2 linked regions of the Drosophila melanogaster genome follow. The protein of the gene in region 2 interacts with the protein of the main gene of each other region in a biochemical or structural test. Each region holds a gene or a part of one and is shown on either strand. Other genes may lie near its edges. The genes, in order: Top2 and mus101.

What was found.
Region 1: the proteins of mus101 (region 2) and Top2 form a complex in vitro, tested with the Drosophila melanogaster proteins (one study listed by BioGRID).

The regions. Positions count from the first base shown.
Region 1 is NT_033779.5:19,449,717-19,457,165, forward strand, and holds the start of Top2 (topoisomerase 2), read right to left. Parts: upstream 3,775-7,449; 5' UTR 3,535-3,774; intron 3,078-3,534; 5' UTR 2,823-3,077; intron 2,600-2,822; 5' UTR 2,570-2,599; coding exon 2,012-2,569; intron 1,955-2,011; coding exon 1,531-1,954; intron 1,465-1,530; coding exon 1-1,464. Other genes in the region: CG10026 (uncharacterized protein), read left to right, coding at 6,465-6,467, 6,693-6,852, 6,914-7,008, 7,108-7,449. UniProt on the Drosophila melanogaster protein: Control of topological states of DNA by transient breakage and subsequent rejoining of DNA strands. Topoisomerase II makes double-strand breaks. Essential during mitosis and meiosis for proper segregation of daughter chromosomes.
Region 2 is NC_004354.4:13,717,904-13,725,352, reverse strand, and holds the start of mus101 (mutagen-sensitive 101), read right to left. Parts: upstream 3,108-7,449; 5' UTR 3,000-3,107; coding exon 1-2,999. Other genes in the region: Mrgn1 (mahogunin ring finger 1), read left to right, coding at 3,677-4,935, 5,002-5,942, 6,008-6,177.

The sequences.
Region 1 (7,449 bases), on a different chromosome or scaffold from region 2:
TCTTTTGGCCATCGTCCACCTGGTAATCCAAAAGTGGATCGTCCAAAGGATGGTAGATGAGTCGCGTCAAGGGAGACATTATAGTGAAAATGTAACGAGCGCTGGCGCAATCTTTGCCTCCCGACAAGCGGGTACCAAATTGACCGCGTGGCTCAAGCAGATTAATGTTGTTGGCACCCACAAAATTCTGAGCCAGATTCACGATTGTCATCTGTAGGGATACCTCTCCGTGGTGATAGGCTGACATCTCCGCCACTGATCCGGATAGCTGGGCCACCTTCACCTCACGCTTGTCATTCCTCTTGAAGCAAGTGAACATCACCTTCCGCTGACCCGGCTTCAAGCCATCCACCAGACTAGGAATGGAGCGCTCATTGTCAGCATTCGAGAACAGCACCAACTCCAGATTGATAAAGTCTGCATAGGTGATGCTCTTGGTGCCCTTGGTGTAGAGATATCGCTCTGGCAAACCGAGCTCCTTGCGACGCTTCACCTCGTCCATGTGGTTGGTAAGCCATACCTTTCGCGACTCGATGTGCTTCTTGGAGAAGGCCATAACAATGCTCTCATCATCCACCGATCCATCGTACTTAAATAAGATGCGATGGCGATCCATGTCTTGAAAATACTCTTTCGCCTCCTTGGAGGTCGAAGTACCCAAACCCTTATAGTACTTTATATTGTACGTATGGTGATTAGCTGTATCATTTTTCCACTCCTCGAATTCGGGTAGCGAGTAGAATGACAGCTCCTCGTTTTTCTTGGTTGCCTTCACAATTGGTGTAATGAACTCCTCGAGGAAGGGCAGACGCAGAAGCTCTGGCCAATTGGTGTGGATAAAGTTGATCAAGAGACCCTTGATGTGGGAGCCATCCTGATCCTGATCTGTCATGATCATCACTTTGCCATAGCGCAGAGTTTTTAGATCGTCCTCAGTGAGGTACTTCTTTTTGTATTGCAAGCCAATTATCTTGCATAAATTGTTGATTTCGGCATTCTCCGAAAGCTGCTTGAAATTAGCTTCCCGCACATTTAGAAGTTTACCCCTAAGCGGGAACACGCCGTAGAGATCTCGTCCGATCACGCCCAAACCGGATACGGCCAATGACTTGGCTGAGTCTCCCTCGGTGAGGATGAGGGTGCATTTAATCGAGTTCTTTCCACCCGCCTCGTTAGCGTCCTCCAGCTTGGGAATGCCCTTGATCTTGCTTGACTTGCGACCGCCCGTCTTGGCAATGTCATTTTGGGCCTTGAACTTGGCCCATGCCAGCACAGACTCCACGATGCCAGACTTGGACATGTTGTTGATGAACTTTTCCGAGAGGGTACACTTGGAACCGAAGCCCTTTTGTTGCAGAGTCATGTTCTCCTTGGTCTGCGAGTCGAAAGTGGGGTTCTCTATCAAGCAGTTGACAAAAACCCACAGATGGTTTCGGACCTGGAATGGCTTGATGTTGATGCCACCTGGAAGAGGTTCAAAGCAAATATTAGTTGTTGTTTAAGAAAATACACATTTTAAGTTAAACGTACCTTTGTTCTTTTTCTTCAGAACCTCGAGCAGCTGCTTAATGAGATTGTCTACCACATGGTCCACATGCCGACCGCCCTTGTAGGTAGCTATCGAGTTGACAAACGAGACCTGTTGGAAGCCTCGATCTGAAGGACAGCAAGCCACCTCCCAACGCTCGTTGGCAACCTCGTGGACTATCTTGATCGGTGGGCCAGAATCGTCGTCCGTGTTCTTGATGTGCAAATCAATATAGTCCTTGAAGTTGCGTACACCCAGTTTGTTGCCGTTTAAGAAGACGGATACTCCCTTGGATGAGGCGGCCACATCGTAGGCGCGACGCGACATTAGAGCCACAATATCTTCATCGAGACGGTCCATCTTGAACTTGGCCAGATCGGGACTGAATGTGATGCGTGTGTAGTCAGTGCCATTGAAGTCCTTGATCTGTGGGTTTACTGAACATTAGATGATGGTCTAAAATAAGAAATGTTATTTCCTTACCTGCACATCGGAGGCTTTTCCCATGTTGTTTCCCCAAGTCTGCTTGAAACTTTTCTTGTATTCCCTCGTGGCAGTCTCAACGGTGAAGCTGGTGGAGAATATGTTGCAGAGCTTCGCTCCGTATCCGTTCCTGCCGCCAGTGACCTTCTTCTCATCGTCGTTGTAGTTCGACGAGGTCAGCAGATGACCAAAGATCATCGTTGGAACGTACATCTTCTGCTCCTTGTGCATGGTCACCGGAATGCCCTGGCCGTTGTTCCACACGGACACCATATTGCGCTCCGGATCGATGTCGATCTTAATGGTGTTCATGCTCTTGTCTCGCTGCTTGTTATCTGCCGCATTCACAAGAATCTCGTCGAATATCTTGTAGAGGCCGGGCACGAAAGAGATCTCCTTCTGCACCATGCGGTTTTGGGAGTTGTCATACACCCACATCAGCTCCTTGGTGAACTCCACGGATCCGATGTACGAGTCGGGTCGCAGCAGGATGTGCTCCAGCTGCGACTTCTTCTGGTACATCTGTTCGATGGACAGGGCCTTGTTTCCGTTCTCCATGATGCTTCTGTCGCTGTGCTTTAGCTGAATCTTCAAAGAGTAAGCAAAAGGCATTTGTTAATGTAATATTAATATTAATAACTAATATTCCGAGCCATTGCCTTAGCTACTATTAATCACTCGTCCTGCGTTCTACTAAGTAAAAAAAAAACCAAAGCTACTAGCAGAAGACTACAGTACCCACCCAGTTAACAGTTGCTATTAGTATATTAGTAATATTATGTTCACGTTTTTTTTTTAATTGTTATAATACCAAATAAGATAGATGGCACCCAATATGTTTAATGGCCTCTTAATAACGGGGATGGTTGTGCGTTGGCATGTGATGCCAATGCTGCTGATGCTGCTGTTCAACAATTTTTTATTAATGAATGCGCACTGTACCCACGGTGAAAAAAAAAAACAAAACGCGCGCCCGCGCATTGCGTAAATGCCGTCCAGACAAACGCTGCAATGGAATGGGACTTGGCCAACATGGGAAATGGTTGGGTACGTCAAACAGAAATAACTGCAGATAAATTGAAAAACGTCAAACTAAGTATTATTTTGCCTGGTGCTACTGTACTGGGAACAGATTTTCAGCACACTTTGAAATACATAACAGCCCTGTCTCTTTGGCGGCAACGCTTGGCGTGCGCCGTCTGTTGCGTGAGTGTGCGTGTTTATTGGCGTTTGCCGGTAGTCACCGCTATTTATTATTTCTTATTAAGGTTCTTCGAGGGGTTTCACTTTATAGTAAACAAATTCAGGCCTACATACGCGCTCCGCGCTACAAAATCAAAAAACTATGGTTTTTAAAGGCCCAAAATTAGCTAAATGTCTATACCGGTATCGCCATTTTTAATTTGCAAGCGACGCCACCGAAAAATTGCTATATCCATCATATTAAAGGATTAATTAGACAGGGCTCTTAGGTTCTACGGTACAGCCAATTCTACGATTATGATTCAGCACTTTCTGCTTACCTGGTTAAAAAATTGCCAAGTATTTGTGGCCTTTTCTTGCTGCCGCCGACAACCGAAGTGCGGCAAAACTCTATGTTGCAGGCGATACACGAGGCGGTGCACTACAATTTTCGACTTGTACGTGCCCCACGCGTCTGCTGCCTTTAGCTAAAACTTGTACAGTTCTCAACTAACTATTAAAATACGCACAGCACATTTAACAACTTTTCACAACCGACAACAAATGAGAAGTATTGCTGGTTTTAGAGCTGGCAAGGCGCACAAATCGATGTTTGAATGAAATCGCTATCGATAAGTCCCATAACAGTGTTGTTTGGGTTGGTGCATACGCTCATTGTGAACAGGGCTAAACTAGTAACTGCGGTCGGTGACTCCGCTAAAAGCGTGATCGCCAAAATCACGGTTTTTTAGTTCTATCTCAATCACGTGATGAGTTAAGCAACAGTTAATTCTAAAAAATTCGAAGGTAATAAATAATAATAACATTTTTGGGGTTAAATTCTTTTTCGAGTCGAAAGTAGGGGTTTTAATTATTCCAACTAACATTTCTTCTATTTTTTACATTATAAATCGGCATTGAAATAAATGTAAAAAAGATAAAATATTTCGATCTAAATGCAAATTATCAAAAATTTAAGACAAAGTAAAACCATTAAGAAATTTATCCTTTCATATGCTTAGTATTGTATCCCACATCAATGTGATATACAGCAATTACTTAAAATGAAATGAAATGAAAAATTGCTGCTAAAGTTGCATTTGTGCAATTAAATTTCGCACCGTTGAAGTGAAGATTGCTTTTCAATTAACCACCTGGTAATATGAATATTCCAAAGCCAAGACCATGGCTACAAGAGAACTGGTTTTCTTTCTGCCATTTTGCCTGACCTTGCCCAACACGACGTCATAAAGGGGCATGTCCCTCCCCATCCCGTTGCGATTTTCATTCCGGCTCAGAAACATGTTTTGAATAGTGCAAACAAAATATAAAGATTCTGGATTCATCCGAGTTACTCGGAATTTCTGCTTGGGTAATGGAGAACCCTTCACGCAGTGACGTCACCGGAGCTCATTGAACTTGCACAGCATCGAATATCGTCCAGAAATATTCTCTACTCCTCCAAATCTGTTGATTCTCGTTTGACAAGCATCAGCAAAGATCTCTCAATATGCGGAGTGCAGTTTGTACCCTGCCAAATTGGGAATTTCAGCTGATGCATGGGAAAATTGTGAACTAGCGGAGTTAAGTGCAGTTTATTCCAGGATACTATTAGCAAGTTGAACAAGATGTGAGCTAAAACTCCTAAGATTTGGTAAGATAAAAAGATAAACATAAGTACTACAATTAGCAATTAGTTTCTTTTTTTTTTTTTTGAATAAATTGTATGTATATGTATTGTTAATCAACAAATTTTACTTAATTGCGTTTTTAAGGGTGTTTGCATCGTCGTTTCATCGAGCTGGCTCTCCCTATTTTCAGATGCTGGTTTCTCGTTCTCGCATACTGGTTTATAGTCATAAGTGCTGCGCTTTTTCTCGACTTTTTCCATTGAGACTTGTGTTCATAAAATCTTCTGTTCTAAGCGATCCCCAGCTCAGTTTCATTCCAAGCTTCTGCGATGCCACTTGTGTGCGATCTTCGTTAAGTCGGATTCCCCGTACTGCAAGCTGGAAAAAATAGAAACCGTGACCAGAAACAGTAACCGCCACTCGGATTGGATTATTACCTGGTAATGAAAGTGAAGACCCCGAGCTAATGGGGCGATTTAAACAGGTGTTTAAAGGTGCAGGTGGGGCTGTGAAATAATCGCTTATTATCAAACACCCTAATGGGGGGCACTATTATTGTGATTATCTTGGGATTATCAAATCCATGTAGACAATTAACGACAACAATGGCGAGTTCATTAACACTTGAACCGAACTACGAGTATGTATGTGCTGGGACTTAAGCACTGCAATCAGGCGTACTTAAAAGTGCATAATGTGTAATTAGTTGGAATTTGTTGAATATGATTAAATATTGACCCAGGCACTTTGCACGGCCACCACGTGTGAAATTTGTGTGTGCTGCACTTTGAGATCGCGGTGGCATCATCTCACAGTATCTGCCAAATACGCGTCGAACTCACACAACGCTGCACCGCACAGACCCCAAGCGACCCGATTAGCCATTGGCGAACTGGGAACGCGGCGGATAATGCCTTATCAGGCAGTGGCTCCTCTACAATCGCGGGGTTCACTGGGGGCAAGTTTGGGTCTGGCTCTGCGTTTTGGGGTGTAGGGATAGGAATTGGGAAATCCGGCCAAGGCCAGGTCGAGGTACACCTAACAAGAGCACATATTTTGGGGCTGATGCTGAACACTATGCAATTCCAAGATTAAGCTAGCAATGTAACAATCGGTACTAACCCCCAATTAGTATATATTTATATTATATATATATATATTATTATATTATATTAATATATTTTAAATGATTTTAAAAATTTTAATGATTTCATTTTGCATACATTGTTTTGAAAGTGTACCTACCTAATGTATTGATTGCTGGAAACAACCAACCCAAAGGCAATGTTTCTAAAAACTAAGTGCAGCCAAAACTGAGTAATTGCACAACACTTTACTTATACTATATTGTTTATAATTCTTGTGGATTCCCGCTCCATCAATTAAGTACAGCAGATTCACTAAATTTAGCTCGAGCTCAGTGACACACTGTTATCACTCATCGGCTGTCTCCTTCGCGCTATCGCAATGTTCATTGTTGTTCGGTTTCTAGTTAATATTTAATGGTCGCATACACACTCGTACATGTTTAGCGACAAGTAAAACAGCATTTCGCCTGGGACTGTCACCACTTGGCCCGATTCTGGTTCCGATCGGGGGCTCAGTTTCACACTTGGAGTCGAGCGGATCACAGCCCATAAATGGTAACAACGAGAAATTCATCCAGCAGTGACATGCCAAATCTCTCTGAAATTTAAATGTCAATACGGGTGGCGAAATGTTGCTAACAACGAAACAATCGGGAACAGTCATATTGCGCTATTCTCAACTGGATTTATTTTTATTTACATTTTGCGCGAGTGAAAAGCGCTTATCAATGCACCACCCCCTTATGGCCACATTGTATCTATAGTTTGGGCTTTTTTTAGACGACCAGCAGTGGATGCCGCACCATGCCCACCATCGAGCACAAGCTAAACATCACCGAGGAGGAGGTTCCGGAGCACATCCGCCGACTTGCCCAGGAGCAGGGAGAGTGTCCCAGTTCCAAGGATAAGGTCATCGAACAATTCCGTAACTACATACTAGGTTGGTTATAGTCCGTTGTCTAAGAGGTACAAAGGTATTCATCTGAACAAAACCTCTCCAGAACATAATGAATGCCAACCACACAGAAGTGATGCGAAGTACCTGGAGAAATTCCTAAGAGCCCGCTACTGGAAAATCGAGAACAGTTACAAATTGGTAAGAAAACTTGGGGAAATCTTCATTTTAGTTTGCCAACAGCAAGTGACTATTTGATAATTATCTATTAGGTAAATGCAATAACTCATTCCCTTTCAGCTCTGCAGTTACTACAGGTTTCGGGAGCAGAACAAAAGCTTTTATGAGAAGGTTCGTCCTCTGGACCTGAGACATGTTGGGCAATCGGACATCCTGACAGTGACTCCCTATCGGGATCAACATGGCCATAGGATACTCATCTACCGATTCGGACTGTGGCGACCCAATCAAGTAACCGTCGACGATATATTTCGCGCCACCATTGTCCTGCAGGAACTGGGCAGCCTGGAACCCATCTCACAGATTGTCGGAGGAGTGGGAATATTCGATCTGAAGGACCTGGGCTTGGAACACATACTCCACCTGAGTCCCAGCGTGGCTCAGAAGATGATTGCTCTACTA
Region 2 (7,449 bases):
ATCCGCATCACGCGCTGCCTGATGACGGCCAACGGTGTGTCTGGTTTGATTTTCATGGTGGGTAGGCGCCAGCGCCGCTCAAAATCATCGGCCATCCGCTGCTGGAACTCGGGAGTGAGACAAAAATCTGGAATTCCCGGTGCTGGTCGTTGATGCTTACGACTGACGGGCGTGCAGGCCTGCCGTCGAATGCGTTCCAATTCCGGCGTTTGATTCTCGCGCATTTCACGGATAATCTCGCGCACACAATCCTTGCCCTCTTCTGTATCCAGGCGTTGAACGAATTGCTCTAGGAAGTCCAGATTGTACTGCTGGGCACCCACCTGGCTAAGTGGCGTGCATGGTGAGTCCGGAGAAGATGTGGAGTTGCTGCCACGATGAAGAGCACTGCCTCCTGGTATTCCAGCTAGCTCGGAAACTCTCTTGTTGCGCAGGGGCGTCAGTTCAGGAGCTCCTGGACTGCCAGCAGTAACTGGTGTGACAGATCCCGCCGGTTGGTTCTCGGCCTCCTCCATGGTTACATCCGGTTGAGCCACCAATGTGGATTCATTCGGTCTTCTTGCTGTCCGGCTATTGCTGTCCCGCAAGCGTGGCGATATGGGGAAATCCTCGGGACTCTTGCCCACCAAATATCCAACGAAGGGCAGCTTCTGACCAGTGCGGGCGCACTGCACCAGCCAATCGGATGTGACTACGGGATAGTTCCATTTGATGGCACCTTCATACTTGGAGCCCTCGGCACTGGGACACACCAGCAGCGGTTTCTCCTTCTTGATGAATGTCTTATTGACGGAGGCGCCAAGTAGTTCTGCTGTCGCATTAATAAAGTCCCGCTCCAATCCTGCATAAATGGATACGACAATAGTCATTCCCTTAAGCGGCTGACGCAGTGCGGTAGCCGGCACATGTTTGTGGTAATATTCGATGGGCAGCAGTTGATTCTTTTTCATACAGCTTTCCAGGAACAGTTCGGTGACCACATGGCGGGCCTTGACGGGTAATTGCTTCACATCGAAGGCTACCTCAAAGCTGACAATGGCGAAATCCACTTCATCGGAGAAACTCGATGGCACCAATAAGCCTTGGGCAGCTTCGCATTCGGTTAGCATTTGGTTGAAGAACTCCTCGTTGAAACACTCCCTGTGCACATAAACAGAGACACCGGCGAAGTAGTCCAGCTTATCGAAATCAATGGATAGAGTGCTGGCACTGAGATCCGGCAATTGCAAACCCTCAGCGGGTGGTTTTGGATTGGCTACCGAGACTCGCTGGCGTATATCCATTTGGGTGGAACTTGCCGCTGGTTGAAGGAGACTAACATCTGCCGGTGGCAGTTGTGCCACTGCTCCTTGATCCTGTGAGTACTGATCCAGCAGCGTATGATCCGGCTCCTCGTGCTCCTGTTCCTGCACGGGATCCGGTTCCTGATCGAAAAGCTTCTTCTTGATGGGCAATGTTGGCTGCTTGAAGCTGTGGTTCATGGAGCGCAGTGTTCGCTTGCTGGCAGGAGAGGCAACGTCTGGTTCTCGATTCTGTGGCATCGACACACGATGCACCAACTCACTGACCACGCGACCAGCTCGAATGCTCTCCAGCAGCCAATCTAGGCGCACCACATGAACTGAACCCATGAGACCATCGCGCTGCCACTGTCGGTATTCGGCGTCATCCAGTTGGCCCACAATGATGTGTGAGATGCCCTCATTGGCCTCATCGTAGCGGGTCGCTCCGCCCGTATTCAGCACTCTGTTTAGCTTCTCACGCTCCTCTGAGCGGAAGCCACTCAAATACACACAGCAGCCATCCAGAAAGGCGCCCGCTTTTTTCGCCTGACGCGGTTCAATCTCGGCCAGCACCTGCTGGTAGTTGCGGCCACTGCTAGTCGCCTGCTTGAGCAGCTGCTTGGCGGGCGAACTGCTGCCCACACTGCTGACGGATTCGTTGACGGTACTAAGATCGCTGCACATGCGACGCGAGCCGGAGACGAAGCTGATACGTGAGAGATCCGAGAGGTGCGTTTGATCTGCACCGGGAGCTGCGCCCGGACGAGTGGTCTTGGTGGGTGTGGACGACGTCTTGCCAGGCCGCACCTCATAGTCCTTTGTGGGCAGAGCGTAGCCGCGATTGCAGCTATCGAAGATCCATTCCGGCAGCAAGACATCCTTCTTGTAGCGTATGGCTGCCTTATACTTCTCGGTGTCCGTTTTTGTTTGCTCGGTGATGACGATGTCCACCACCTGGGAGCGAAAGGCACGATGATAGATGCCTCCATTATCGTTGACCAGCCGCATAACTTGATCCTTGCGCGCCACATCCAATCCACTGCACGTGATATTCGCACCAAAGAAAATGGGCAGGCGATACTTATCGAAATCAGGATCCGTGGCCATGATGCCCTCGCGCTGGCTGCGACGACTCTGATCCCAGACGTACTGCACCCAGTCGACGTGCATTACGGGTACTCCGTTCAGCGTTGCCTGCTCGTACTTGCTGGACTTGATGGTGTTCGAAATGAGGTGGGTGGTGCGATGCCCGAAGCTTTGAAAGTATATGCCGCCCATCCAGTTTATGAGCCTGCTCAATTCCTCTTTCTTCTGTGGTGTTATGCCCGTGGCCGAGACCTGCAGATCCCGCATGGCCGTGCTGTAGATGGCACTGCTGCCCTCGGGAATGGGTTCATTGCGCCGCAGGCAGGTGATGAGGCACGGTGGCCCCAGAATTAGTGCTCGCGTCTGCTGCAATTGCTCGAAGAATTCGCCCTCGAACTGGGTCAGCACAAAGACGTCCTTCTTGGTAAGGTTACCGGCTGCGATCAGGGGATATCCTTCGCTTGGCTTTATTTGCCGGATCTGCGTTTCCGCCAACTGTTGGCCCAGTAGCTCCCGCGCCGCCTCGAATTGCTGCAGTGTGTCGGCCTCCTGGACGCCACCGTCGCCCGGCTTCAGATTGTTCACGAAGTACGCGCAGATGGTCTCGTCCATGCTCATGCTTATGCTCATGATGGCGGTTGCGAGTGTGTTCTCTGCTCCGTGATGCGCTGCAAAATTGCCGTGATTTTCGCACTGCACTTTTTTTCGCGTACGCTATTTTGGCGCCGTTTGTTATTGCCTTCAAACCGTTGGCAACGCTGGCTTGTGATTAGTTGGCAACTACGAGTTGAGCTATGTGGCAACGCCGACGGCGAATTAAAAAATAATGTGTATGGGTAATTTTAATTATTTATCTCTAAGATGTAAGGATTTTTTATTTACTTTTTATCAAATAAATAAAATATTTCGAAAATAAGCAGTTATTTATCAGTTTTGGTTTAAGCTATCGATATATTTCATTAAGCGAAATATCGATATCCACGTCGTCGACGGCAGCTCAGCCCTAAAAGAAAGGAAGAAAGAAGAAAGGAAAGGCAAATCAGAAATAATCAAGACATTGACCAACTTGTACTATTGCTAGTTTTGTGGACACAGGATCCAACACTTGAAGGCGACCACAGCTTTCGCACACTCACACACACACAGCGGCCATTTTCCGCCGAACAAGTGAAATGCCAACATGCCATTGTATGTGTGGTGGTGACCAACTGAAATAGAATAATAAACTAAACCAAAGCGAAGAGAAAACGTAGGCCAAGAGCTATATTGGATCTGTGTCACAGTTTTCCATAGCACCAACCTATCAAATGGGCAACTTTGTGAGCAGACAGAACGCGGCGGTGGAGGAGGCCGATCCGAGCACGAACAATGCCTACAAGTATCCACCGAGAATGGGTAACTTCTTTGGCACCCACTTCATCATGGGCGGCGAGCGCTTCGACACGCCCCAACCGGAATCGTACTTGTTTGGCGAGAATGCGGATCTCAATTTCCTGGGCAATCGACCCACAGCCTTTCCGTATCCCCCGCCGCAGGCCAATGAACCGACGAAGACCCTGAAGAGTCTGGTCAACATTCGCAAGGAGTCGGTGCGTTTCGTCAAGACGATGAACGACAAGAAGCTGGGCGGTGTACTCGAGAAGCCCAAGATGAAGGAGATTGATCGGGACTTGGATCTGGACAAGGAGAAGTCCAACGTGACCATCGAGGATGTGGATGGAAATGTGCTCTGCTCGATGGGTTTGGGTGGCGGTGATGCCGATATGACGCCCCCACCGCCGCCCTGCTCTTACAACATCGAGTTTACCTTTGACTCGGACGCCAAGTGCGCCATTACCATTTACTATTTCTGCTCGGAGGATGTCAGTCCCAGCGGCGTGACACTGGTGCCGCGCGAGGGTCTCACCTCGGAGACGTACCACTACGAGAAGGGCATCAATCAGTGCTTCTCGCAGCCGAGCCATGTCTTCAATCCGCAGCAGATGCCCGAGGATGAACTGGGCTATAGTCCCGGCCGTGAACAGTATCCCGTGGCCATTCACTGTGTGGTGGAGGAGGGCAGCGACGAGTGTCGGCAATCGCACACCACCATCTGTGTGATCGATCATCATCCGGAAAACGGCAGCTATGTGCTGCGTGCATTGAAGCAAAAGATCTTTGTGGATGGCTTGTGCTACCTGCTACAGGAGATCTATGGCATCGAGAACAAGGCCGTGAACAAAACGTCTCTGGACGAGGAGATCGACGATCATGGCAGCGAGTGTGTTATTTGCATGAGTGAGACGAGGGATACGCTCATCCTGCCCTGCCGCCATCTCTGTTTGTGCAATTCATGCGCGGATTCGCTGCGCTATCAGGCCAACAATTGTCCCATTTGTCGCGCTCCGTTTCGGGCGTTGCTTCAGATCCGTGCTGTCCAGAAGGGAATTAGCACGCATGTACTGCACCAGAACACGCCCACATCGGCGGCCGGGGAGCCGGCGCCAGTGGATGTTCCGCCAGGCTATATTCCAGTCTCACTAATTGAGGCACTCAACGGACCGCCACAGTATGTGGCCAGGGCTAGGTGAGTTATGGAATGGAATTAACCGATAAATCTTACGTAGCTGATGCCTTTTTTTCCAAAATTCAGGAACAGCGAACACGATGTCACGGACTCAGCTGCCACCGTGGCCGCTTCGACAATGACCAGTGCTGACATCAAGGCCACATCGCCGATCAAGTCCAGCAGCCAGCGTCGACCGAAGATCAAGAAAAACGCTTCGACGTGCACGTCGACCAGTGAGGTGGGCACCATTACCAATCAATCGGGCGGCGGCAATGGGTCATCCACACACTCTGTGGAGATTGAAAGCGATCCGAAGAAGTCCAGCACGGCCACCTGTACTTCGCCAACATTGGGGGCATCCACTTCGCCGGAACCGAAACAGGACAAGCTGCAGATTGTTAACGAACGAAAGTATCCCAGATCCACAGCCGGTTCCGGTGGCGATGGCTCCGCGGGTACCGATGACGATGTGGACAGTGAGAACGAGAAGCTATCGCCTCTGCTATCACCCGGCAGCAAGAGCAAGAACGTTTCTAGCAAATCGCTGAAGCAGGTGGTGGCCTGCCTGGAAGCGGATGATGATGTCGATAATAAGAGCAGCACTGGTGATGGGCCGACCGAGGAGTCCAGCCTAAAGAAGGGTTCGTCGATAAAGCGCACCAAACCGAGACCAGAACTTAGCGGAAGCGGTGCACCCTCACCCGCCGAGGCCACGGCCGAGGATTCGGATTACTACACGCCGGAGGATACTCAGAATTCGATATTAAGCCCACTGTGCCCCACGGAGCGAGCCAAAAGCGGTGATCCCCTTGGCGCCGGCAGTCTGGGCAATGGCGGTCTCAGCGTGGGCAGGAGCGCAGGATCAGTGGGCGGACAAGCTGGAGTGGGACCCGTCGTTGTGGGTTTCAGTAGTGCAGTTAAGAAGAACCTGCACAAAAAGTCCACATCGGTGGGCAACATGGTGGGCTCCGGATCGGTGACAACGGTTGTGGACTTGAAGTCCAACAACGTAAGCTCCCTGCCAGGTTGGTGTTTCTGATTCGGTTTCCAATTGTCACATGATTAAAACATATATCTTACTGCCATCCAGACATGTTGGACAGCCCAATCAGCGGCAACTCGGCCTCGACGCGCAGCTCCAGTGATAGCTACTCCTCCAGTTCGTCCACCAAGCAGCTGCTCAGCTCCAATCCGACCACTACGGCGGCCAATATTATCGTAGATGACAAGACAGCTCTGCAGAATGCCGTCAATGTTTAGAGCCGGTCTCGGTTGAATTTCGCGGAAATTCGTTTTCTCGTTTTAGCTTTGCGTTTATACTATTTATTCGGAGTTCACCTAGATTTAGTTAAATCAATGCTGCTTCCCCGCTCGCAGGAACAAATATTTTGAGGATTATATTAATATTAATATTAATGGTAATGCTAATGATGATGATGATGATGATGATGATAATGATAATACGGATAAGGATGGAACGGAGGAGGAGCAAGGAATAAGGCTACCAGGACGCAACACTTAACCAGTATACACAGTATATACATACATACAAACACTAACACCACAGACACGAAAAGACACACGTCCCACATGCATGTGTGTGTATGTAGTTTAATCTAGTATAATGGCTTGGGTATATAACAAATAAAATAAATCCAATAAACAACGGCGCCTAGGGCGCTACATTCCACAGTATAATTCGAACTAAATTAGTTACACTATCAATGGGCGGCAGTGTGGTATATACATATATTACTCCTTGAATATCAAGAGTAACTTGTGAATATTAATTAGCAAGAATGAAGTAATTTAGCAACAAATATATTAATCTAAAGCCATTAAATACATGTGGCAGTACGCAGTAACAAAATAATAGTAAATTGTGGTCTTAAAACCATAAATCCAACACATTTTTGTATTAAATAGTTAATTCAAACATACATATTTTCAAATTCGAATTTTAATATTACGTTATGCGTTAAAGTGAAATTATAAACTTTTACTTATACGTAAAAGAAAAATGTCATTTCCAATTTTCATATTAAATATCAACTTTAAATGCATTATTTAAATAAAAAACTTTTGCAAATCGCTATCGATAACAGCGCCCACACTATCGAAAGGCGTCGATAGGCCGCTAGGAGCTGCCATCACTAGAGATCACCCTTGGAATTGTCCAATTGGATTTGTTTACCTTTCGCCCGTTTAAGAATTTCTTTTCGGTGGTTTTTCGCGTGGTAAAGTGGCTGTTTTGATTGAATTGATTGTGCGAAGGATTGAGACGGAGCGACCGTAGTTTTGCCGGAGGTACGTAAGCAGGACCTTCTCGTCCTGCTCCCACTTGGTGCCCAATCCCCGCCCCCCGCCATAGTTTTCGACCTCCACCGCGATTGCCGGACATGTGCGTAGTGTAATTGATTTTTCGGTCAGCGGTCAAGCATTATTTATTTACCAAATTTGCCAACCCAGCCCACCCCCATCCCCCTTCCATATCTCACCCTTGAGTGGCACACATTTTCTCATTTTGTTTGT